Sus scrofa: one gene and its partners. The protein of the gene in region 1 interacts with the protein of each later gene in a pairwise test. Links are inferred from orthologs where the notes say so. Each region holds a gene or a part of one and is shown in the gene's direction. Other genes may lie near its edges.

Region 1 (4,241 bases):
TGATTTACAAAGTGGTGATACTTTCTGCTGTACAGCACAGTGATTCAGTTCTACGTGTACACACATTCCATTCCCTTTCAGATGCTTTTCCCAGCATGTATTTTTCAAAACTGTTTTAAGGGAACACTCAAGAGCTGAGCCTATCGCTGTTTATAAATCTTACTTAAAATTGAGAAAAGACCATTGAAATAGTATTGTTTATTTTAAAAGATTTATATTTTATGGATGCAGGGTTAAATATTTACAGATGAAAAGACATATATAATTCTTGGGATTTAGTAAAAATTGGGGGAAGGAGTAGTGATAAATATAGGGAATAGACAAGAATGCAGATGCACGTGGTTGACTGCATTAGAAAACAATGGAAGGAGTTCCCGTCGTGGCGCAGTGGTTAACGAATCCGACTAGGAACCATGAGGTTGCAGGTTCGGTCCCTGCCCTTGCTCAGTGGGTTAACGATCCTGCGTTGCCGTGAGCTGTGGTGTAGGTTGCAGACGCGGCTCGGATCCCGCGTTGCTGTGGCTCTGGCGTAGGCCGGTGGCTACAGCTCCGATTCAACCCCTAGCCTGGGAACCTCCATATGCCACGGGAGCGGCCCAAGAAATAGCAACAACAACAATAACAACAACAACAACAACAAAAAAAAAAAAAAAGAAGAAAGAAAACAGTGGAAGCTGGGTGATATTCCATGGAGAGTCCTTTATTCTATTTTTGTTTTTGTTTTGCTTTTTAGGGGTGCACCCGCAGTATATGGAAGTTCCCAGGCCAGGGGTGGCTGGACCTGTAGCTACTGGCCTATACTACTACTACAGCCACAGCAACACCAGATCCCAGCCCTATCCCTGACCCACACTGCAGCTCATGGCAATGCAGGATCCTGAACCCATTAAGTGAGGCTGGGGATGGAACCCGCATCCCCACGGATACTAGTTGGGTTTGTCACTGCTGAGCCACAACAGGAATTCCTATTCTCTCCATTCTTGTATGTTTGAACATTTCCCATAATAAAAAGTTGAAAAGAGAGGGATCATCTTGGTTCCTCTCCCTTTACAAGAGAAAACTGAACATAACTTGTATTGGCTCTCAAAGCCAAAAAGCAAACCAACTTCCAAGTTTCCTTCCAAGTTCCCCAGGAAACAAAATAGGAGCGTTTTTAGAAAGCCTACTTTTTAAAAGGGCCGACCATCAGTGCAAGGAGTAGGTTAAGCAATATATATACTTGCTTCCCATCTCTTTGGGTTTCAAACTGTTGTTTTTGTAGATTTAAATTACTTTTTACTCACATTCCAGAATGTGAGTCCAAGGATCAGAGAAATTCCCCCCCACACACACACAAATAAACACAAGACAAGCAAAAAAAAAAAAAAAAATCTGCAAAGACCTGTTTTTTCCCCTTCCAGTTCTAAAAGCATCCTCCTATTCCAGGCAAAGCAAGCAGAGGCAGTCTGTTAGGGGGAGGAGCTTGGTTCTCCATTCCGGTGTGATCCAGGAACAGCTGTTTTCCCTCCAGCTCTGAAAGGTGAAACTGTGTCAAGCAATGCAAAAATTGTCTTGAAGCTCGTGCATGTGTATGTCTGTGTGTCTGTGTGTGGGATGGGGTAGCCTGTCAGCCCCGAGGACAACGTGAATCAGTAGTCGGAAAGGTGAGTGGTATGTGGAATCTCTCTTTTCAGAAGGGGCCCATGAAATTGGATATGACGGTTCAGGAGACTCAGTCACTCTGGATTTATCTCTTCCATCCAGGAACAGGAATCTGGAAAGTAAATCCCATTCTGAGAACAAAACGCCTTACAGCCGCTGGGTTTCGACGGCTGGGGAATATTTATTCCTTGATCCACTGATGGGAAAAATCAGCGTCTGGCAGCCGCTGATTGGTGGAAAGAAAATGGTGATAGTGGGGTGGGAAGAGGATTTGACGAGCCTCCTCCTGCCTCCTCAACCTGTAACTCATCCTTACTAGTCGCCTCTCCACCTGCCGGACCACTTCGGGCTCAGGAGAGGTTAAGAACAAACGTTAAATCCGGAGAATAGTTAAACAAAAGCTTCGTTAACATTGTGTCCTAAGGACCCTTCATCCAATTTCAGTGATGCGAGGGAAACCTGCGCTTGGTCCTGATGCGGGTACCTTCCGAAGCTACCTGTCTCCTTTAGCAGCTCCCCGAAAGACTGGCGCTATTTTGGTGGTAGAGCCCTCAGACCCCACTTCCCCGGGCTGGCTCATGACGTGGGGGTCCGCAGGAAAAACCGGGGGGAAAGGCGGAGACTGGGAAGGAGGGGGGATGGGGAGAGAGAAACAGACATCAGACATCAGCCCAAGCCTCAGAGCTCCGGATCGCCGCCAGAGCCCGGGCGCCCCTGAACTTGAGGTGAACCGCCCAACACCCCACCTTCCAGTCTCCCAAGCCCAGGCGGGCGGCTGGCGTTGGAGGTACAGCCTCCCACCACCCCCATCCGAGAAGAGGAGTGAAGTGCACGCGGCGGGGAAAGCAACGCGCGCAGGGAGCGGGGCGGGGAGCGGCGCTGACAAATCCGCTGCGGGGGCGGGGAGCGGAGGAGAAGGAGGAGGAAGACGAGGAGAAGGACCGAGACCACTAGAAGGGGACCCAGGAGAGGGGGCGAGAGACAGAGCGCAGCGACGTGGGGGTGAGGTGTGTGCTGGCTTTGGAGCAGACCCGGGGACCGCGCCTTGCCTTTGGCAGCCTTGGCGCTCTTTCGCCGCCTTCCCTTCCTCCCTTCTTCTGCCTGGAATCCTCTCGTGCGGGGGACGGGGAGTGGCGATTCGACGACAGGTTCGCGGGTTCCCTCCCACGCCCCCAGCCTCTCCCCCCAGGGTTGTGCCGACAGCCGCCTCCGCTGAGGGCCATCCCTCTCCTGGTGCCGCCTCCACCCTTCCTGTGCGCTCCTATCCTCCTCCCTCCCATTTAAATAATATTTAGGAATTGTTTTTAAAATTTTTTAAGTGGGTGCGGGGAGGATCGGAGTTCTCAGGAGCCAAGGGAATCAGGTAAGTACCTGTGAATCTAAGTGGGCAGCTTGGGAAATCTTGGAGAAAACCTGGTGGGAGAAGAGTCATTGCGGCGCCTGGGGGGGGGGGGGGGTTAGTGCTGCGGTGAGGACCTGCCATAGTCGAGTCTCTCTTAGAGGTGGGCACTGACCCCTTTGGTGAGCTTGAGGAAAGTAAATTGACTCGGCTTACCTCTCTTCTCGTCCTCAAAGGCTGAGCGGTCTGGATTCTCCGGGATACGCTTTTCCTTTGGGAAAGTCGAGGATGCTCGAAGGATTATAACTATTCAACTTTTATTTCTTACTTTCCTTAAATCCCCCAGCCCACCCTCTCTGTTCTCTCTGTAAAGTAAGCAAGCTGTATTGGGCAAGCCTTTAAATGGAAGCGCAGAGAGAGCAAGTCAACAGGTGGGAAGGGGTTAACAGGTGCTGGGCGCCGGGTGGGTGGCGGGTTCAGCGGGCTAACTCCACCTCTGGCAGCTGGCGCGCATCCGGAGACTGCCTGCAGGTGTGAACGCTCCTGCTTGCCTGCTCAGGGTAGACAGCTGAAGGTGGGGTACAGCGTCCAGTGGGTGAGAGCCACTGCAGGTGGGCTTGCAGTTGGCCTGGGGTTCAGCCACACCCAGAGTGAGTGGTTCTCTTCCCACCCCTCTTCCTGATCAACCTGTTAGCTGTTTGGGGGATTTATTTTGAGTATCTCTGACCCCCCCTCCTCCAGCTCCTTTTTCCGTTTCCTGTGATCTGTCTTCTAAACGCACTTCTAACTTAACACCTTCATCGTTTGGACCCTGGGAAATTGAAAGGGGGGAGGGGGTAAGTCCTTTCATGTAACTCCACTTGGAATGCGGTGAGAACAACTCAGATGATTCATCCCAATCCATGTTTAGGAGGCTAGACTTCCACCAAACAAGATGGATGGGAGATGCTAAATTTTTAATGCAAAAGCTAAAAAAAGGCTGCTTTGTCCAGTGGTTGAAACAGAGGTACACCTACAAGAGTCCTGCATTTTTTTTGGGGGGGGGCGGGGGAGTCTACTGATCTTTCAGTGATTTTTACCTTGGGTGGTTCTAATTTCGTTTTGTTTTACCCCAAAGTTCTCAAAGTGTATTTTGTGTTCTCCAGTGTGGTGTAAAGGAATTCATTAGCCATGGATGTATTCATGAAAGGACTTTCAAAAGCCAAGGAGGGAGTCGTGGCTGCTGCTGAAAAAACCAAACAGGGTGTGGCAGAAGCAGCGG
Region 2 (2,453 bases), on another chromosome or scaffold:
AGCTTGTTGTAAGGGTTAGAATTTGGGAGTCCTAAAGAGATGGGGAGAGAGGAATGACACTGGGGCTCAGAGCACCTGAGGACTGCTTGTGGTCAGTGGGGGATCCTTGTCCCAAAGCCATCCTGCCTCAGCTGTGCTCTCTTCTATAAACATTTTTCAAGTTGTAAGTGGAGGTGCTTCTGCTGAGATTTCCCCCCCCCCTCCCAGCCGACCTCTGGCCACACCTCTCTGGCCACTGGGACCTCGTTGCACAATGGAGCAGCTCCGCCTCTGGGCCTTTGCACCCAGGATCTCACACTAGCTCCTTGTTTCCTCCAAGACCCACTTTGCAAGCTGGTAGCACCACTATGCTGGGATTTAAACCCAAGTCCCGTCACGACTGGGCTGCCACTCTGTCGTTCGCAAAAGGCTACAAAACTTTGAAACGTCACCTGGAGGCCGAGAGGGGAAGCATCCACACCTGTGGCCGTTCCTCCCCGCACAGTGGGCACGGGACAGTGCTGCAGGGGACACAGTGTCTTGTGGGTGGTGTCTCTGCTGGAGGATGAACACATCGCTTCCATTTTGTTCTCGGAAGGGGACCTGGTATCTCCTGCTTCTTCAAGGGCAGGTGACTGTAGACAGGTCGTGTGTAGCTGGGCTGGCTCCCTGTAGGACCTGTGGGATTTGGCTTCACTTGGAGGTCTCTGAGCCCCTCCAGCACCTCATTACAACTGCGTGACACGTGTGCGGCCAAAGCCCCGCTGTCAGCCCCGGAGCCCCCTTTATGTGTGATAACGCTGCGTGCGTCACCTGTGTTGGTGGCAATAGGCTAGTGTCTGTGATGGGACGACCCAAACTTAAGCAACAGAATCCCAGCTGACAGCAGCCTCTGTGCCTGAGACACTGGCCATGAGCTTGGCTCTGCTCAGAGTCAGCAGCCTTGGGACAGCTTCACCCACCGCTGGCTTACGGGTCTGCCCCCCACCCCACCTCATTCTCTCTGCAGTAGGCTTCCTCCTTCCCTCCTTAGGAGTAGGGAGAGGGGCAGCCCCAGTCACGAATAGCTGCTCAAGAACCCTCAAGAAGCCAGGCCTTCTCTCCCCTGAATATTCCAGAATCCCAGCAAGGCTCTGATTGGCCAGGCCCAGGTCATGTGCCCACCACATGGTTGGGGGAGTGAAGGGGAGAGTCCTTCCCCAGAGGAAGGGAGGGGGGCTTTTATACAAAGAGGAGAAGGGATGCTGAGCCCACAAAACGCAGAGGTATCTGCCCATCTGCCATTTTCTGAATATTTACCTGTCAGGTTTGTGTCGAGCCTGGAGAACACAGGGCCCAGAGAGGGTGAGGGCCCTCTCCAAAGGCACACAGCTTGGAAGTGGCAGTGCCAGTATTTGAACTCATGATGGTCCTAAGACCTAGTACCGCATCTTCTCTCACATGGGGTCTCACAAGTGGTTCACGACAGGGCTGGCGCCGAAACCCACTGCGGGGTCCTTCTCCCTTAACCACAGCTGTTGCCGGCGGGAAGCAGGAGGGGAGGGGCCCACTTTCTCCAAAGCCATTGGGTTCCCAGGCACTGGCTGTGCCGTTGCTGCAGGAGAATGACAGCCAGCGTCTGCTCTGTGTGCAGGAAACTACAACCTCACGAGCGTGCTGCCCACGGCTCCCGACATGGCCCAGTTTAAGCAGGGGGTGAGATCCGTTGCTGGAAAGCTCTCCGTGTTTGCTAACGGTGTCATGACTTCAATTCAGGTTAGTGAAACTGGGATGACATTAACTGAGCATGATGGTGGGTTTGTAGCTTCGAAAATGAGATTTGGACTACTCTTCAATTGCTAGAAAATTAGATTTTGTATTATTGATTTATATGTTTGCTGCAGTGTAACCCAGGACATCATGGAAACCAGAAATTATAATTTCATATTTGTTTAAATTTTCTAATTTACGACCTAGAGGAATTGTTACTGGAATTGTCATGATCATTATCTACTTTTTTCCTATCTTGAAATAGAAATATTGGGAAGGAAATAAAAATTACCCACAATGTCACCTCACAGGGAAAACTTCCATTAATATTTTGGTTGATGTAATTTTATTTATTTACTTATTTACTTATTTTTGTCCATGCCTGTGGCATGCAGAAGCTCCCAGGCCAGGGATCAGAACCTATGCCACAGCAGTGACAATGCCAAATCCTTAACTGCTAGGCTACCGGGGAACTCGATGATTTTATTTTAACTCCAGATTTCTGTGGATATCCGTTTAAAATTTTAAAGGGATTATGTTGAATAGGTGGTTTCATAGCCCCTTTTTCTTCATGCTGTTGTGTTATGAGCACTTGTGTCTAATTAAAAATTCTTCAGGAGTTCCTGTCGTGGCGCAGTGGTTAACGAATCCGACTAGGAACCATGAGGTTGCGGGTTCGGTCCCTGGCCTTGCTCAGTGGGTTAAGGATCCGGCATTGCCGTGAG
Region 3 (3,500 bases), on another chromosome or scaffold:
GGGGTAAGCGGGTCCCTGGCGCGGCCTGCAGTGAGTGGCCCTGGGACCTGCAGCTCCCACGCAGCTTAGCGGAGTTCTCAAAGTTACATTTTATGGTGTTTTCACATCCACGGTTGATTTTCTGGCGAAGTGACTTATTCGTCAGTTTAGAGGCTGGTTTTTTCTTTGGCAGCACCATGGCCAGCCCGAGAACCAGGAAGGTTCTTAAGGAGATTCGGGTGCAAGATGGAAACAACGTAAGCATCCCCCTGTCGTTGACGCGCCCACCCGCCCTTCTCTTCCTCCCTCCCTCTCTCTTCCTCCCTCCCTCTCTCTCCCTCTCTCTCTCCCTCCCTCTCCCTCTCCCTCTCCCTCTCCCCCTCCCCCTCCCCCTCTCCCCCTCCCTCCCTCCCTCTCTCTCTCTCTCTCTCTCTCTCTCTCTCTCTCTCTCTCTCTCTTTCTTTCTCTCTCGGTGCTTGTGGCCACCGCGTCCTCCTGCTGGTCTCACCGCCCGCCTCCCCCGCTCCCTCCCCCGGGCGCCCAGGCTCTCTGGGGTCCCGGACCTGCCCCTGCCCCACCTGCCCCAGCCGCCTGTGCGCTCTTCGCAGGTGTGTTTCGAGTGCGGCGCCTTTAACCCTCAGTGGGTGAGCGTGAGCTACGGCATCTGGATCTGCCTGGAGTGCTCGGGGAGGCACCGCGGGCTCGGGGTGCACCTCAGGTCAGTGCCCTCCTTTCCTGCCCTCGGGCCGCGGGCTTCCGGAGCTGTGACCAGGGCCTCCCCCGGGCGTGCGGGCCAGGAAATCGCAGGCTGGCCCCTCCTGCCCTCAGGCGCTCTATCTCAGGAGGCGGGAGGCCCGCCAGTCTGGTCCCAGACTGGGGTGGGCTCTTAAATCCTGGTGAGCGGGGAGGCTCCCGGGTGGGTGGGTGCTGGGTGCTCAGTACGGTGACAGGTGGCCCCTCGGTCTGCAGCTTCGTCCGTTCTGTCACCATGGACAAGTGGAAGGACGCGGAGCTGGAGAAGATGAAAGCGGGCGGGAACGCCAAGTTCCAGGAGTTCCTGGAGTCCCAGGAGGACTACGACCCCGGCTGGTCCCTGCAGGAGAAGTACAACAGCAAGGCCGCCGCCCTGTTTCGGGACAAGGTGCGGACCAGCTGCCCCGCTCATCAGGGCCTTTGTGGTTCTGGGAGCCGAGCTCCCGAGGGCCCTGCCTCACCTTGTGCAGTACGTCCGCGGGCAGGACAGATGGGGCTCCCTGCGGCCTGGGGTGCACTGCGTCCATGTGGGTGAACGCTCCTGACAACAGCAGCACCCGCTGGGGGCGCCTGTCAGGGAGGGGCCCCGGTGGTTGGGGTTGGAGCCACGTGGACCAGCACATTGCTCGGGCCCCGGGCATCCTGAGACCTGGTCTCTGCGGTGTTTGCGCCCGGCCTGTGGCTGCAGGGGTTGGGTGCTGCTCGTGGGCGAACGCTGGCCTTGGCGGCTCCCGGCCTCTAACCTGGGCCCCCCCGGCAGGTGGCCACTGTGGCCGAAGGCGGAGAATGGTCCCTGGAGTCCTCGCCCGCCCGGAACTGGACCCCGCCTCGGCCCAAGATGCTGCCAACCTGTGCCCACGGGTAGCTGCTCTTCTGGCCTGCTGGCCAGCTCTGCCCGGGTCAGCCCAGTACTGACCACTGTGGCTCAGGGAACCTGGGGTCGTGGTGACAGCTCCTGGCGTGAGCGATTTGTAAAAGTCGGCAGGAAAAGCACCTTTTTAAGTTACAGCTTGAATGTGTCGTAAAGACCCAGTTAGTGAGGGCACATCTGGCAGGCAGTGGTGACCTGGTCCGCACTGTGAGTCCCTGTGGTCTGGGCCCACAGCGCTCGGCTGCTCTCGTCCCCTGTCCTGTCTGAGGGCCACCTGCCTCTCTGGCGGCCTGGAGGCGGGTGTTCCCGGGAGACTGATTTTGGAGAAGGCGCCCGCGGGCCTCCCCTCCCCTGCCTTTCTTGGGCGGGTTTCCCGTCGGAAGGTCTCCAGACTGCTGCCACGTGCTTGCTTTGGCCTCTGCCCCTCCGATGCCCCTGCTGCCTCCCTGCAGGTGTGGGCCGGGCGCTGTGGAGGAGGCCGCCCTCCACTCTGAGCTTTGTTTTCGGAGGAGCCAGCTGTGACCAGAGACCCCCGGCCTCCCGCAGGCACGACGGCTTCACTGACCTCTGCCTTCCTGTTGCAGGGCCACTGGCCGGCCACAGAACTCCACCGCCAGCTCCGACAAGGCTTTCGAGGACTGGCTGAACGATGATCTTGGCTCCTATCAAGGGTAAGACTCAGGTGGGCTTGGGAGAGGCGGGGACCGGCCCTGGAAGGCTTGGCCTGCGGGCTGGGCTGCTCTGCAGGTCTAGGCACGTGTGCAGTGGCTGCAGAGTGGGCGGCCTCGAAGGGTCCTGACTGGCAAGCCCTGGAGCAGCCCACGTTGCAGGAGGAGGCTTGAGCGGAGAGAAAACCTCTAAGAGGAAATCTCTCCTAAGAACGCCTGGAAGGAGGGATGAGGGAGCTCCTGTTGCGGCTCAGCAGGTTAAGAACCCAGCTGGGATCCATGAGGACGTGGGATCGATCCCTGGCCTCGCTCAGTGGGTTAAGGATCCGGCGTTGTCATGAGCTGTGTAGGTAGGTCACAGACAGCTCGGATCCCATGTAGCCGGCAGCTACAGCTCCAATTAGACTCCTAGTCTGGGAACCTCCAAATGCCACGGGTGTGGCCCTAAAAAGCAAAAAGTAAGGAGACCTTACGGGACCTGCGTGACCCATAGGTGGGTGAGCCTGGAGCCGCCACTTGAACTCGGTCGCTTGGCGCATTGGCTCTGAGGCTCGCTGCTTCTCCGGCAGGTGCAGCCCCTCGTCCGGAACCCGCGCCGGGGGTGTGGCTGCCCCGGTGCAGCCCTGAACGTTCTCGGGCCCCCGGGGGCCAGCCTCTCGGAGCCTCCGTTTTGGGCTCGGGGCGGATCTGCACCCCACGGTTTTGGGGCAGCGCGGCTGTTGCTTGTGTCCCCTCCAGGGCGCCGGAGAACCGCTACGTGGGGTTTGGGAACACGGTGCCGCCTCAGAAGAAGGAAGATGACTTTCTCAACAGCGCCATGTCGTCCTTGTACTCGGTGAGGGCACCCGGCCGGCCCCCGGGGCCTGCTCTTGGCGCTCACGTCCTTCAGCCCTTTGGCGCCAGAGCGCCTTCTGACTCGGGAAGGTCGGGAAGGCGCGCTCCTCCGCCGGCTGAGGCCGCCCTCGTGGTGGAGGCGTCGCTCTGCCGCCGGCCTGTAGGGCCACGGTCTTGGTGGCAGAGGTGACGAGCTGGAGAGCTCCAGCCTCGGCCGCTCCGGGTCCAACCGTCGTTTTCAGGGGCACTTCCAGGGCCTTGTCCACTGTAGGGAGGACGCAGAGCCCGAGGGCCCGGCCGGGAGCTCCGGGGGCTCGCTGGACGCTCTGAGACCCGATGGGGTCCTGGCCGCCGAGTGGGCAGGGCCAGTGCAGGGCATGGGGGGCCTCGAAGGA
Region 4 (3,926 bases), on another chromosome or scaffold:
TGTTAGGTTGAGGAGTCACAGGTTCCATTTAAGAACTAGTAAAAACTATAAATTTCCCCAGAAAAATCTACATACATAAATCTTGCACGTGATTTCTGGGGATTTACGAACATCCCCCCTCCTCCCTCAAGTTCACCCATTGGCACCAGATTAAGATCTCCTGGAGTAGATGATTTTGTAGGTCTCTTTTAGCGTTTCTCAAAATGTAGTCTGGGGACTTTTGGAATCAGAATCCCTTGAGGCCCTTGTTAAAAAACAAAACAAAACAAAACCAGATTCCTAGGACGGCCACAAACCTACTGTTTCAGAATCTCTGGGGACTGAGTTTGAAGATTCTGTATGTTATTAAAAAATCCCTGGGTGATTCTATGCAAACTAACATTTGAGAATCAGTGCTTTATCCCAACTGAGATTTTTATGGTTTTTAAATGCTTTCATTTGTTGAATATTTTAGGTTTCACCTGTTCAACTGTCAACTATACCAAATGGTACATTTAGTATGAACTCTAAGAAGATTTACATGTTTATAGGCAGAGGAGAAACATCTGAAGAAAGAGCAGTGTCTGTGCAGTAGGAATAAGAATGGTTTTTTTTCCCCTTTGTTCTTCTACTTTATTTCTCTTCTTCCTCATTTTCTTTCTTTCTATATTTAAAAAAGACTCTTCCTCTTTCTGAGTTTAGTTTCCCCATCTAAAAGACAGAGTGTTGTAACCAGGTGAACCTCAAGGCCAAGCTCTACTCTGGCGCTCAGTGACTCCATATTACCCTTGTCCTTTTAATGGTGTGAACTACATGGACAACAGTGTTTGGAGAATAATCATGTATTTTTTTTTTAGGTATGACGTTTCGATGCCTAGCAACCGTCTTTACTCCAGCAAAAGTATTGCTTTCTTTCTCTGGGAGTCGGAACTGAAATAATCTCTACCATCTGCAGCCCCCGAAAGTTCATCCCCTCTCCTTAACCTTAGAAAAGGCCGTCCGCGCACTTCTCTTAGGAGCGTAAGAATGAGTGTGAACCAAAAAGCCAGGGCGTGGTCGCCCCGCCCACCGGGCACCGCATCACCACCCCTCTGGCCCCCTTCACGTGCGGAGATTGGCTGAAGGCAAGAAAGAGCCCCGCCCCTGGTCTTATGACCCGCTCTGAAGAGCCGACGAGTCCTCGCTTTTGCAGCGTTGTGGTCGGTGGTCAGCGGCGCTCTTGCCCGGGTTCTGGGAGCCTTTTCCCTGGTGTTGCTGCTCTTGCCGCCGCCGCCGCCTGCTCTGCGGGATCATGGTGTGCTTCCGCCTCTCCCCGGTTCCGGGCTCCGGGCTCCTTATGCTCTGCCTCGTCCTGGGTGAGTTGTCGGGCCCTCCTGCTTAGTCCCTGAGCCTGGGCCGGGGGCGCCTAGTTCAAAGGCCACAGCCTGCAAGACTGGTCCAGGAGGAGCGGTTTGAGAGGCTAGACGACTGACACTGGGCGTTGGCGCTTGGCCCGAGGTGACGAGCAGTGACCTAGAGAAGGCCCGACCGAGGGATGGCGGGGGAGAAGGGCCCACAAGAGTAAGAAGGGGCAAGTAAGGTGGACGCCGAGGTAGTAGGTAGGGAAGAGGGAGGAGTGGAGCAGATCGGGGTGGAACGAGTAACTTGGGGAAGATAACTAAGGAGTGAGGAGCGGAGGAGGGCGGTACTTGCAGATTCTGGGGGTGGCACATACAATTAGGAGAGCCCTGGTTCTAGAATTGGCGAAGAGTTTTGAAGATGGTGGAAAACTATGGGGCGCGAGAGAAAACTGCAGAGGGAAGAGACTGCCTGCGTGGAGGAGATTGGGGGGAGGGCGAGGGCAGACAGGAGCAGATTCTGAGGATAGTGAGAGGTTGGGTTGGAGCGGGTGGGGGTAGGAATTTGAGGCCGTGGAGCAAGGGTAATTAAAGAGATGAGGGATGATGCTGGATTGGCGTCTGGTACTTGGAGTTTTGAGGTGGAAGGAGTCTAAGGTGGCTGGGGCAAATTCCAAGCGAGAAAACTAGGACCCAATAGTCTGGAGTCTAAAGGGATGAGTAGGAACTTGGGTGGGGAGTGAATGTCTGACTTGGAGGTGCTGAGGTCGTTGGTTTTCTACCAGTTTTGTTACTTCCTCCCAGCTAGACTCTGACAAAGAAGTACCCAGATGTTGAGGTTTTAGGGGTGGTGTGGCTGAGTCTTGTATGTACTGCTTTTTTTGCCTTTAGAAGCTCCCTTTCTTCCCCCTCACACAGCTGGTCTCTTACCACATTTTGAGAGGAGGAGGGTAGGTACCTTCCTAGGGGTTGGGTTGTTATCAGGTCCTAAGAATGGTTGGCTGAATGTTGGCTGACGGTGCTGTGCACACCCCACCCCCGCCGGCCCCAAGCATTGGGTCCCCTGAGGCCTTTTATGCCTGAAAGGTGAACTTTGACCAGAATGTCTCTTCCTGTGACCTGATAAATCCAGTGCTGATTGCTACCACTGATTCTTGCTGTTTGTGGCCTAATAAAAGGAGGAACAGACCCAGATGGGAGTGGAGATATATTAGGGGCCTGAGAAGGCAGCGAAAGGTACATGTTTTGGAATTTACATTTCAGTAGAATAAAATGAACACCCTGGAAGAATGGTGGATTCTCAACCAGGGGACTTTTGGCAATATCTGGGTACATTTTTGGTTGTCACAGCTGGGGATTGCTTCTGGCATCTATCTAGTGGGAAGAGGCCAGGAGTGCTTCTAAACATCCCGCAATGCACAGGACAGCACTCCTCCCCCAACAAGAGAATTATCCACCTTAAAATGTCAATAGTGCCAAAGATGGAAAATCTGGCTCCAGAGCTTATAGCTTTGGAAGGGGTCTTGATGATCTAATCTAGTGATTCTCAAGGATCTTTTTGGAGGTTGGGAGAGGGAGGCTCTCTGTCAGCTCAAAACTGTTTCCAGAATAATACTAAAACATCCGTCTTTCTCACTCTCGTCCTCTCATTGGTACAGTGGAGTATTCCAGAGGCTATACAATGTGTGATGACATCACCACTGTGATGGCTCTGGTGTGTTTTACTCACTTCCCGGTTTTAATTTCTAGTACGGCAAATACCAGTAGATGTAACCCACACAAACCAAAGTTCTTTCGAGGTCGTCAGTGGATAGAAAGTAAAGGGGTCCCGATGCCAAAACACTGGGGAGTCCACCTTGGCACACGGTGCTTGCAGGAAACGTCCGTGGCCCTTCTGACCGCCCCCCTCCCGGCCCCCCCAGACCTTGCTGAAACACTCCCCTGTGAAGCACTTACTGAGGGCCAGGCGCCCCTAAGAGAGGATTGTTGACAACGAAAAGCACCTTATCAGTGCCTAGAACACGTCTGACCAAGGCATCTGGTAGTCAGTAGTTCACTGCCAATTGGATCTGCACAAACAACACTGTAATTGTTTAGAGAAAGTGAAAAAAATAATCATTGTCTTGCTGGCTTTCATGTCATTAATTTTTTTAAATGAAAGCTTTTTTTGTTTTGTTTTTACAAAAGCAGTGCTGGCTCATTGCAGAAAATAAACAGGCAAAAAAGAAGCACATGAAAGAACCCATCAGCTCATCTGCTAGTTTGCCATTTATTGATTGGGGACTAACTAGATTCCTTCTCTTGGAAGATTTCCAAGATAGATTCCCTCCTCTTTCAAGTTCAGGATAGGATTTGGAGAAGTAAAAGTTAATAACGTACGCAGGTCAGGTTTTTTCAAAAGTACCAGGATGAAATAGAAAGTACTTTTTCTCTGCAGCTGCTTTTGCTGTCATCTTTTGGTTCAGTGTGGAGCTCAAACTCCTTCCGTATGTGTTTTTTTTTTTTTTTTTCCCTTAAGAATTTAGCAGTTCTTCAGTTCCTTGGTGGGTTTTGCACATTACTTTTATATATCCAAATGAATACCAGGAATAGTTTTTTTTTTGAAAACTC
Region 5 (2,575 bases), on another chromosome or scaffold:
CTTGGGCTCAACTCCAAACTCCAGACCACGCGTGGTCCAACTCTCGCTCATCCCACACCCTCAACTCCTTTCTCCCTTCCTCTTGTCATGCTTCTCCGGCCACCTGGCTTCCTGTCAGTCCCCTGCCCCTGGCCATCCCTTTCCCACCCCAGGTTCTGAAGCTGTCTGACCTTGGACAAAACTCTTTCCCACTTTGCACCTATTTTCTCAACAGTAAAATGGGTTGGTTTTTCCCACCCGAGGGTCAGGAGGGAGGGCAGCCCTTAACCCTTTTTCTGGCCAAGAGAGGTCACAGACAGCTACTGTTTCTCAAATCACCAAAGCCACTGCATGCAGACAGCCCCCCTTCGGCCCACCCACCCTCAGCACAGTTTGAGGCCTCAAACCACATGTTCCCTTTCTCTCCTGTCTCCCTGCAGGACACTTTTGTGGAACTCTACGGAAACAATGCAGCAGCTGAGAGCCGGAAGGGCCAGGAGCGCTTCAACCGATGGTTCCTGACGGGCATGACTCTAGCTGGGGTGGTTCTGCTGGGTTCGCTCTTCAGTCGGAAATGACCAGACACTGACCACCTACTCACCTTCTCACACCCCCCCCCGCCCCCACCACGTCCCTCCGTCCAGCCACCATTGCCACCAGGAGAACCACTACGTGCAGCCCACCGCTACCCACCCCTCACAGGGTTGGGCCTAACCTGGTCCCCTGCAGTTAGTTTCTAGAATCTACCATGCTTCTGTGAGAGCCGCCTTCCCCAACACCTCAGTTCTCCTGGCCTCAAAACCCACAAAGTTTCCCCCAAATCTGCCCCATGGAAGCTGGCAGGTGCCAGGGTGGTGGAGGGATTGTGGCAGGGGCCAGAATTCCCTGCCTAATAGGTGGAGCCCCTCCCCCAGCCTCCCAGAGAATGCTCTCCTGCCCAGGACACAGAGAGCTTTCTGACCCTTTTCCCCAGAAAAAGAGACTAGATTGCCTTCGTTTTGATGTTTGTGGCCTCAGAATTGATCATTTCCTGTCTTCCCCCTCCCGGACCTGGGCTCCCCTTCCTTTCATGCCCACCCTCCAAGAGCTACTTAGGGCCACTTCTGACTAATTACGGATTCAGGCTGCTTGGGAGAAAGTAAAAAGGACCAGGACCCTCTCCCCACCTCTGGCCTGGCCAAAGTCCCTACCCCCAAATCCCAGTGTCCACTAGAGGCCTCTGGCTAGAGGTCAGCCCCACCTGGGATGGAGGGGGCTGTAGCTGCAGGAAGCACCCCACGCCAAAGCTCGGGTGGCCCTCGCGGTTTAGCACCACCTCCGCTCCCTTCCCCTTCCTCTTCCCCAGCTCCCATGACCATGACTGAGGGACCAACTGGGCCCTAGACAGGTGCCCCAGAGCTGTTTATGGCCTCAGCTGCCTCACTTCCTGCAAGGAGATCAGCCTGTGGCATCTTTGCCTTGGGCTGCTGCCCATGGGGGTCAGGAGCCTCAGCCAGAGGTGAGGGGAGCTACAGGGAGCAGCTGTGGGAGCCCTAGGGTCTTCCCTACCTCAGGCAAGAAGGGCAGGAAGGAGAGCCTCATGCTGCCGTGAAGGGAGGGCTGCTGGAGGGGCCAGACCTGCCTGCCTGGCCCAAACGATTTGTGCACCACCCTCGTTCAGCCTGGGCAGCCGGGCTGCCGAGGTCAGAGTGGCCTGGCCAGGAGCTCTTCAGGCCTCCTTCTCTCCTCTGCTCCACCCATGGCCTGTCTCATCCCTGGGGGTCCCGGCCTAGCCCCGGCCACCCCGGGCTCTCTGCTGTACATATTTGAGACTAGTTTTTATTCCTTGTGAAGATGATATACTATTTTTGTTAAGCGTGTCTGTATTTATGTGTGAGGAGCTGCTGGCTTGCTGTGCGTGTGCACGTGGAGAGCTGGTGCCCGGAGGTCAAACAGCCTGATGCTCCCTCCCCTGCCCTGGTCCGGGGAAGCCAGCCGGGGGTCCTGGCTCCTGAGGGACACCTGTCCCTCCCCCAACCCCCACCCCACACTTGTTCCAGCTCTTTGAAATAGTCTGTGTGAAGGTGAAAGTGCAGTTCAGTAATAAACTGTGTTGATTCAGTGAACAAAGGGCCCAGGCTTCAGTGTGCTGCGGGACGGGGCCAGCGGGGGGGTGGGGGTGGGGGCTGCTTGGCTGGCAGAGAGGCTGCCAGGGAGGGCAGTGGGGACAGCCAGATGAATATAAGGATGGTGCCAGCTGTTGCAGGGCAGAGGAGGCAACAGGGTGACCCTGAGGAATCATGGCAAGACATAAAGGACCTAATGGGGAAGGAGGTAAGAAGGGGTCAGATTTGAGATAACGTTTTAAAGATAATGCCCCAAGACTGGCTGCTGGATCAGTGAGAGCGCTAGAGAGGTGATTTGAGATTTGGGAATAGGGGTATGATTATAATTACAAAGCGAAGCACATGTCTGAGACCAGTACAACCCAAAAGGCTCGTAACGAGTGTCCAACAGCATTTCACACAGAACCTGAGCTTGTCTGGGATTCAGGGAGGGCTCCCTGGAGGAAGTGACATCAGAGCCAGGGCCTGAACAGGCAGGCTATAAGAATTAT
Region 6 (3,500 bases), on another chromosome or scaffold:
CTGCTGCCCCCAGCGGGAACTCACTTAAGGGCCCTTTAGAGGCTTCCGAAGACTGGGCCCCGTCCGCTTCCTGCCAGCGGTGATTGGATGCTGGCTTCTTGGGCAGCTGCCGTCCACCTGGCCCCGCTTGTCTGTCTTCAGCACCCTTTTCCTTGGGGGGTGTGGGGCTGGGACACGGAGCCGGTGAGTTGGAAACCCACGCCCTGCGTTCAGTGTGCCCGCCCAGCCCTCGTCTCCCCTCCTGTCTGTTCATGAGTCCCTTGCTCCCTTCTCAGTTTGTGAGGTGAGCAGGTCTGGGGGCTCAGAGGTGAGGAGCAGCTGTCAAGGGTCCCAGAGGCCCGGAGAGCATGGCGGGAGGGTGAGAGCTGAGCTTGAGGTCACCCGTCACGCGCGGGTCCTTGGGGCTGCAGCATAGCGCCCTGCAGAAGGATCCCTGCCAGGTGTCCCCCCCTGCAGCTTCTAGTGCTGCCAGCGTCTCTGCTGGTGGCCACTCCTCTCCAGCCTCTGTGTCCTCCTAGCCAAGGAGATCTGGGTGAGGGCCCAGCTGAGATCCCAGGCAACCTCACCTCAGGATGATTAGTCACAGCTGCAAAGATCCCATCTCCACATCAGGACCCATGCCCAGGCTCCAGGTAGACGTGGCCAACCTGTGCCTGTCCGCCGCTCCGTCCCCCTGGTCGGACAGGCAGGGAACAACCAGCCGCTCCCACCTGCCTGAGGTGGATTTACTCCTGAAAGTTGTGCCACGGGATCTGCTGTCTGTTGGAGGCAGTGGGGTCGAGGTTGCAGGCCTTGTGTGGGATCCCCTGTTGTGACTCGGGCGTCCCTGCTCCCAGCAGAAAGCTGCAGCGGGGCCCCGGGTGGTCACCGGCCCCAGGACCCCCCCACGCCCCACGCGGCCTTCCCATGGAGGGAGGGGCAGGGGCATCGTGGAAACGGGGTTTCCCCGCCCTGCCCGTGGAGGGTGCACGGGACGAAGGGCAGGCCCGAGTCGTGCCCTTGTCCCTGCAGAGACGTTCCACCCCGCTGGGAGCAAGGCTGCCAGGGGCTGGGCCTGTGTCTGGGCCGGTTGCGCCTCTGCCTTCGGGGGGCCGAGCTCCCCTCCCGAGGGCAGGGCCTCGGCCTGGCGCACGGAGGCTGCCGGGCTTCCGCATGCCCAGATCCTCACGGAGGCGCGCCTCTCAGCACAGGAAGTCCTGGAGAACCTCAAAGACCGCTGGTATCAGGCGGACAGTCCCCCCCCGGACCTGCTGCTGACCGAGAAGGAGTTCCTGTCCTTCCTGCACCCCGAGCACAGCCGTGGCATGCTCCAGTTCATGGCCAAGGAGATCATCCGGGACCTGGGTGAGGCCCCCCCGCCCCCGCTGGTCCTCCCGGCAGAGGTCAGCGCGGCCAGTCCTGGGCTGCGGTGGCCCCGGAAGGCCGCGCGGCCGCCCGACGAGGGCAGGCCCGGCCCTGGCCGATGCCATCCGGCCGCAGGTCCTGCGAGACACACCTGTTCGGGTCGGACTGAACCCTCACAAACTGGAGGCCTGGCTGCAAAACCCGGGCGGTTGACTTTTCTCCCGAGGGGCCTGGCGCTCCTGTGTCCACTGGAGTCTTGAGGGTTTGCCCCTTGTCCTGCAGACCAGGATGGTGACAAGAGGCTCTCGCTGCCCGAGTTCATCTCTCTGCCCGCGGGCACCGTGGAGAACCAGCAAGGCCAGGACATTGACGACGGCTGGGTGAGGGACAGGAGGAGGGAGTTTGAGGAACTGATTGATGCCGACCACGACGGGATCGTGACCATGGCGGAGCTGGAGGTGAGCAGGGGACCGTGGCGGGGAGCCCCAGCCTGAGCCAGGAAGGCCTCATGGTTCAGGTCGTGGCTCGTCCTGTGGCTGGGGTGCCTGGGGCCGGTTGAGCCCGTGGAAGTGGTGGGCATGTGCCTGCTGCAGGGCGTTAGGGCACAGTGTCGGTGCCCGGCCCCGGGTCGGGTGCCTGGGTCAGGCAGCCTCGTAGGCTCAGGAGCGGCTGCCCGCTGGGCCCTCTGTCCAGACGCTTGGGCACGAGGGGCACGGGCGTGGGCTGGCTTGCCACCTGCCTCTGAGGTGTGTTCACTGGTATCGCGTGTAGGTGCTGCGTGGGGCTTGTTTTTTCCCATTTTGCTGCTGAGTCATTTCACTCTACGCGGAATTCTCTGATCCCTGCCCAAGGCTGGCGGGGCCCAGGGCTGGCGGGGCCCAGGGCTGGCGCTCCTTCCTGTGAGCCCGAGACCCGGCTGTGTCCACATCTGGGATCTGGGTGGCCCCCTGAGGAGGCCGGGGAGGCGCCCCCCCCAATCCCCCCCACCCGGTGGGGAGGGCTGCCAGGCCGAGCCTCCTGGACGTTCTGGAACCGCCCACTGCCCTGCCCTGTCCCCCAGCCCACGGGGTCGCACGTGAGGCTGGCCTGCCTCCGGGGCTGGGGTGCCGAGCGCCTGGGGGCGGCCGCACGTCCCGGGGGTCTGGCGGCGTGGCTGGGCGCCAGGCCGAGGGCAGGGGAGACGCTGGCGGGGCCCTTGCAGGACTACATGGACCCCATGAACGAGTTCAGTGCCCTCAACGAGGCCAAGCAGATGATCGCCGTCGCCGACGAGAACCAGAACCACTACCTGGAGCCTGAGGAGGTGCTCAAGTACAGCGAGTTCTTCACGGGCAGCAAGCTGGTGGACTACGCCCGCAGCGTGCACGAGGAGTTCTGACCCCACGCCGCCCCCGCAGCGTGTCGTCCCTCATCGTCGCTGCACCATGCTTCTGAGAACTGCAGCCCATCTGCGGAAGCCGCTGCCCCGTCGCCCGCGCTCACGCACCTCGGGGGGCACCGCAGCTCCTGCTGTTTCCTGGAAAACTGAAAGATGTTTGCATTGCTCTGCCGGCCGGGCTGCTCCGCCTGTGGGGGCGGCTGTGACCGCTGCCGGCCCCTCCGTGTTCGGCCTCCGAGAAAACGTGAACACCCGCGACGAGAATCTCATTAATGTACTTTAAAATACAGTTGCCTTTTTCTCCTAGCCTCTTCTTTTTTTGTGTGTGGCGGGGAGAGAAAACCACGTAATCGATAACTTGGAGCGTCTGTGGCCGGGCGTCTCCACTTAAAGCTTTGCGGTGGGCGGTTTGGTTAGAATCCGGCGCTTCCTGGCGCCTGCGATCCCCTGTGTGCCGGGCGCCCACCCGGGCCACCACGGGGAGGGTGACAGGGCAGCGGACCGGTGGGGGGCCGTGTGTGAGGGGCCTCAGGGCAGGAAGGGGCCTCCGCAAGGTGGGAGCTGGGGGTCTGGGCTGCAGATGTGAAGCCAGGAGGCAGGGAGGGGCGGGAGGAAATGGGGTTTTAGGTGGAGAGGAGGCTCTGAGGACGAGCCCTGGGGCCCCAGGAGGGTTGGAGAACTGTGGGGGTGGGGGGCGCTGCCCGGACTCCTGGCCTGGGGTCTGGTCTGGTGGACGGGGCAGGGTGGCCGAGGGGTCAGAAGCTTGCTGAGCTTGTGG
Region 7 (4,136 bases), on another chromosome or scaffold:
TTCCCACTCCAAACTCTGCTCTGGCTTTTTCTTTGCATACTCAAATTCATCAAGGTGCTCAGCAGACATACATACACACACAAAGCAAACAACCAACAACCAGTTTACTTTCTTTTTTTTTTTTTTTTTTTGTCTTTTTGTCATTTCTTGGGCCGCTCCCCTGGCACATGGACGTTCCCAGGCTAGGGGTCGAATCAGAGCTGTAGCCACCGGCCTACACCAGAGCCACAGCAACGCGGGATCCGAGCTGCGTCTGCGACCTACACCCCAGCTCACAGCAACACCAGATCCTTAACCCACTGAGCAAGGCCAGGGATCGAACCCACAACCTCATGGTTCTTACTCAGATTCGTTAACCACTGCGCCATGACGGGAATTCCCAGTTTACTTTCTTAAGATCCACCCTCAATAGCTGTGATTTTCCCCCCATGGTTATGAAATTTTTTTCTAAGGTTTCCTAGTTAGTAGTGGTATAGTATACTCAGGTGGTATAGTATACTTCATATTCTATCGGTTTTAAATCTCTTGGGAAAGTGTATAGCTTGAGTTTAAAAGAGTTACCATGTTTTTGCAGGTACTTCATTATGATGTAAAGGAAATTAACATTAATGGAAAGACTACTATATGTGACACATTGTTGCTTTAGGTGTCATTTATTCATTACAAATTTATTGAACACCTATTTGGTACACACTTTCACTTAACACACTTACTATACCCCGCCTTCCAGCTTTTCCATCCATTAGACACTTGGACTGTCCTTGGGAGCTTAGTGACCACGGCCAAAAACTCCAACCAAATTTGTTTAAATTTATGGTCTAATTGGAGTATTTAATCACCATTTCTACGAGCATACAAAGATCACCTTGTGAAAAAGTTCAGGCCTCTCGTTTAGTTTTTGTAAGACTAGAATTTTGGTTAACGTTTTATATGCATACATAATATGATTTTTAGGATCGTGTTCATTCTTCCCTTACCAGAGGCGAAACTTTTAGCCAGAATTAGAGGAAATTGAAATTCCTTTTCTTGTAAGCCCTACATCTCCAATTAGAAGAGGAAGAGACGTAGCTCAGGCGTTAAAAGCAGCCATGCTTCCTCCGCAGCAAAACCCACGATGCGAGTAACACCAGGGTAACAGATCTAAGCCCGAGAAATACAGAGCGCAGGGGATGGGCGGGCCAGCTCGCCTCAGCTCAGCGTAGCCTGGTCCGTACCCATACTGCCCATCTAAAACATCCGCCTCAGCCCTCCTCCGCCCTCCCATACCCTCTCACAGGCGGTGACCGGGATGGGAAGGAACTAGCAGTGAGAGCGCGCGCGCGCAGCCCCGCCCCTGCGTGACGTCAGAGCAGCGACGCGTCGTAACGCAGTGCAAATTGGGAAAAGGGGATGAGCTGGTCTGGCTTCCGTCGGGTTAGCGATTCTTCCTCGGTTTGGTGGGAGATGGGCCTTTGGCAAGGCGGCTGGCATTTGTGAAGCGCGCCGTGCGCCAAGGTGAGTGAGGGGTTGGATCCTGGTTTTTATTCCTCCGGAAGCTCTTCTCAGTGAACCCCCTTCCACCAGCTGCTGGTCACCCGGGAGACAACCCCTGTCTTCGGAGAAGGGTGGGACAGCTCGAACGTAGAATCCGCATTTGGAGGAAGGGCCCTACCCTGAGTCTTTGCTGGTGCCCACCTAGAGTTGCCCAGCGAGTTTCGTGTGGGCTCAGGTTTTCCGGTCTTAGAAGGTGGCCTTGACCATTCTTCCACCTTCTTGAACGCTCAGTCCGACTTTGACCTCGTCCCTCTTGCCTCTGTTTTCAGATTTTCTGCTGTTGGGCTATCTTCCCAGGCCTTAATACAACCTTCTAGAGTGTTTTCCAGTCCTTCCTCTGATCCTGTCAAACTTGGTTTTAGTGAATTCCAAGTAGGAGTTTAAAGAATCAATGAGCTCATCAAAACTAAAACTGCGACTCCCCAAGTAAAATCTTTTCTTTCCTAAAATGTGGCCTCTCTACTAGAGGTGTGAAACAAGTTAATTTCACCTCCACTCCACCTTGGAAAATACCAGAACCCAGAATTTAGACAGAAAGCTGCAGACCACACTTTTGGGTTTGTTTCTTACCTCCAGTACATTTTGTGACCTTGAAGCAAATCACTTAATCACTAAAAAAAATTTACCTGAAGACAGAGGTGTTGCAGAGCCTAAGGAATTTAATATTTGTTAAAGAGCTCTGAGGGTTTCAGATGTAGGCGATGCCGAACTGAGGATTTTACTTTTTCTGCATCTGCGAGCATCTTAATTTTTGAATACTTCCTACTGGAGCCATGAAAAATGTCAAGTGATTTTTGTTAAGGAAGTGTTCCTCTTCTAGGCTTGCTCTGTAGCTTTGCTGTGTAAGCAGATTTTGTATTTCAACAGATTCTGTTTGATTCATTGTTCAATGTCTTTCATGATGAATTTAGATAGTTTCTCAGACCCCAGAGTACTGGATCAGTTTATCTGAAAGGTGCCGTAGCTTGTGCTATGTCTTTATCATGTTGAAATGTGTATTCCTTTTCTTGTGACACATTAGATGCATCTTTTAAATTAGATAGTAAGGATTGTATAGTAAAAGACAACAACAACCTGTCATTAATGATATAAATATACATTAATTGCACACAAGTATTCATTGTAGTCTTTGAGAAAACAGAAAAACAAAAATACTTTAAAGATATCTTTCTAGAATTTAATTTTTTAATGTATTTACTTGAACTTTATCAATCATTATGGTCTTTATTAATGTGAATATAATGGGAAAGAACCAATATGGCTTTTGTAAAGTAAGAGTTAGCACATCAGATTTTTTTCCCATAAAATGTCTAGCACTATATTTTATTATGAACTTTTCTTCATGAAGATATACTTGGTTTTGTAGAGATGAAAGGGGGAGAAGTGTTCATCAAATATGAGCTGCTAATAAAATTAGATATTATTGAGTCTTTAAAAACAAATCTTGGTTATTGTCCCCACTGCCTATTACTGTATACCAAATCACTCTAAAACAAAGTGGCTTAAAACTACAGTTTATTCTCATGTTTCTGTGGGCTGAGTGGACTCACCTGGTTGGTTCTTAGTTAGGGTTTCATGTATTCGTCGTCAGGTACACAGCTAGGGTTGGAGTCATCTGAAAGCTCACCTGGGCTGCACATCCTAGATGGTTTATTCGCATGGATGGCAGTTGATACTGTCTGAGAGTTCAGCTGGAGATGTCAGTTGGAGTGCATGCACCAGTCTCTTTATGCATCTTTGACATGTCAAAGCATGGAGGATGAGTTCTAAAAGCAAGTATTTGAAGAGTCGGAAAGTGGAAGCTTTCTCTTAAAGCCTTTTAAAGCCTGGACCAGAATTTGGCACAGCATTACTTCTAACATACTCATTTGGTTAGAGCAGTAAGAGCCTTCCCCTTTGACCCTCTACCTTTTGAAGGGGAAAATGCCAAAGAATTTGTGGCCATATTTAGCATACCATAATTTTGTTGAAAAAGTTGTTTTAAACTAATGTTTGGATTTAACAGTAGATGAAGAATAAGTTACAGTTTTGATTTCTTTAGTCATTTCAGTGTACATTACAATTTTCAGAGCACTTTTCCATATGTATATTTTTTCATTTGATGCTTTTGAAAACTCTTTAGAAGCAGATGGATTTTTCCTGTTTTGCAGATGAAAATAAACTGGGGAATGGCAGTGGTGGTGTTGGGAGGATTTAAGGAATTTACCCAAAGTCACATGACAAAGAGTAGAAAATGGGACTAAGACCTATAATACTTTCATGATATAAAATTTATTAGTAGTAAATGATGAAATATTAAACTTATTTGCAATTATATATTTATAATCATACTAATTCCAGTAACACAGTACTTATGTATAGTGAATAAAGTTAGGGTTAAGATAGCTAAATCCGGGCTCTTCCAACACATTAGTTTAGTCTTTTATAATACTGAATTCTCTGAAATGTACCAGTAATGATGTGGACTTGCATATCTTTTTTTTAAGTTGAAGAACAGTTGATTTATAGTGTTTCAGGTGTACTGCACAGTGTTTCAGTACATATATGTGTGTGTATATACATATGCTTATTTATATGTGTTTCAGTATATGTATATATACGTG

The links.
Region 2: the proteins of SNCA (region 1) and ARFGAP3 interact in binary tests that used the Homo sapiens proteins (3 or more experiments, as listed by UniProt). The link is inferred for Sus scrofa from reciprocal best matches to the Homo sapiens genes SNCA and ARFGAP3.
Region 3: the proteins of SNCA (region 1) and ARFGAP1 interact in binary tests that used the Homo sapiens proteins (3 or more experiments, as listed by UniProt). The link is inferred for Sus scrofa from reciprocal best matches to the Homo sapiens genes SNCA and ARFGAP1.
Region 4: the proteins of SNCA (region 1) and LAMP2 interact in binary tests that used the Homo sapiens proteins (3 or more experiments, as listed by UniProt). The link is inferred for Sus scrofa from reciprocal best matches to the Homo sapiens genes SNCA and LAMP2.
Region 5: the proteins of SNCA (region 1) and BCL2L1 interact in binary tests that used the Homo sapiens proteins (3 or more experiments, as listed by UniProt). The link is inferred for Sus scrofa from reciprocal best matches to the Homo sapiens genes SNCA and BCL2L1.
Region 6: the proteins of SNCA (region 1) and SDF4 interact in a two-hybrid assay, tested with the Homo sapiens proteins (2 studies listed by BioGRID and IntAct). The link is inferred for Sus scrofa from reciprocal best matches to the Homo sapiens genes SNCA and SDF4.
Region 7: the proteins of SNCA (region 1) and USP8 interact in a two-hybrid assay, tested with the Homo sapiens proteins (2 studies listed by BioGRID, with this or other methods). The link is inferred for Sus scrofa from reciprocal best matches to the Homo sapiens genes SNCA and USP8.

What each region holds. Positions count from the first base shown.
Region 1 is NC_010450.4:129,246,283-129,250,523, forward strand, and holds the start of SNCA (alpha-synuclein), read left to right. Parts: upstream 1-1,441; 5' UTR 1,442-1,519; exon of another isoform or gene 1,520-1,643; intron 1,644-2,276; exon of another isoform or gene 2,277-3,004; intron 3,005-3,121; exon of another isoform or gene 3,122-3,143; intron 3,144-3,492; exon of another isoform or gene 3,493-3,816; intron 3,817-3,893; exon of another isoform or gene 3,894-3,986; intron 3,987-4,125; 5' UTR 4,126-4,150; coding exon 4,151-4,241. UniProt on the Homo sapiens protein: Neuronal protein that plays several roles in synaptic activity such as regulation of synaptic vesicle trafficking and subsequent neurotransmitter release.
Region 2 is NC_010447.5:6,046,137-6,048,589, forward strand, and holds part of ARFGAP3 (ADP-ribosylation factor GTPase-activating protein 3), read left to right. Parts: intron 1-1,612; coding exon 1,613-1,734; intron 1,735-2,453.
Region 3 is NC_010459.5:62,383,072-62,386,571, forward strand, and holds part of ARFGAP1 (ADP-ribosylation factor GTPase-activating protein 1), read left to right. Parts: intron 1-172; 5' UTR 173-176; coding exon 177-236; intron 237-587; coding exon 588-697; intron 698-948; coding exon 949-1,120; intron 1,121-1,492; coding exon 1,493-1,593; intron 1,594-2,187; coding exon 2,188-2,274; intron 2,275-3,009; coding exon 3,010-3,106; intron 3,107-3,500. UniProt on the Homo sapiens protein: GTPase-activating protein (GAP) for the ADP ribosylation factor 1 (ARF1). Involved in membrane trafficking and /or vesicle transport.
Region 4 is NC_010461.5:98,621,140-98,625,065, reverse strand, and holds the start of LAMP2 (lysosome-associated membrane glycoprotein 2 isoform 1 precursor), read left to right. Parts: upstream 1-1,126; 5' UTR 1,127-1,270; coding exon 1,271-1,334; intron 1,335-3,926. UniProt on the Homo sapiens protein: Lysosomal membrane glycoprotein which plays an important role in lysosome biogenesis, lysosomal pH regulation and autophagy.
Region 5 is NC_010459.5:35,365,648-35,368,222, reverse strand, and holds the end of BCL2L1 (bcl-2-like protein 1), read left to right. Parts: intron 1-419; coding exon 420-557; 3' UTR 558-2,075; downstream 2,076-2,575. UniProt on the Homo sapiens protein: Potent inhibitor of cell death. Inhibits activation of caspases. Appears to regulate cell death by blocking the voltage-dependent anion channel (VDAC) by binding to it and preventing the release of the caspase activator, CYC1, from the mitochondrial membrane.
Region 6 is NC_010448.4:63,529,381-63,532,880, reverse strand, and holds the end of SDF4 (45 kDa calcium-binding protein), read left to right. Parts: intron 1-1,185; coding exon 1,186-1,344; intron 1,345-1,626; coding exon 1,627-1,802; intron 1,803-2,545; coding exon 2,546-2,722; 3' UTR 2,723-3,028; downstream 3,029-3,500. UniProt on the Homo sapiens protein: May regulate calcium-dependent activities in the endoplasmic reticulum lumen or post-ER compartment. Isoform 5 may be involved in the exocytosis of zymogens by pancreatic acini.
Region 7 is NC_010443.5:121,373,355-121,377,490, reverse strand, and holds the start of USP8 (ubiquitin carboxyl-terminal hydrolase 8), read left to right. Parts: upstream 1-1,336; 5' UTR 1,337-1,494; intron 1,495-4,136. UniProt on the Homo sapiens protein: Hydrolase that can remove conjugated ubiquitin from proteins and therefore plays an important regulatory role at the level of protein turnover by preventing degradation. Converts both 'Lys-48' an 'Lys-63'-linked ubiquitin chains.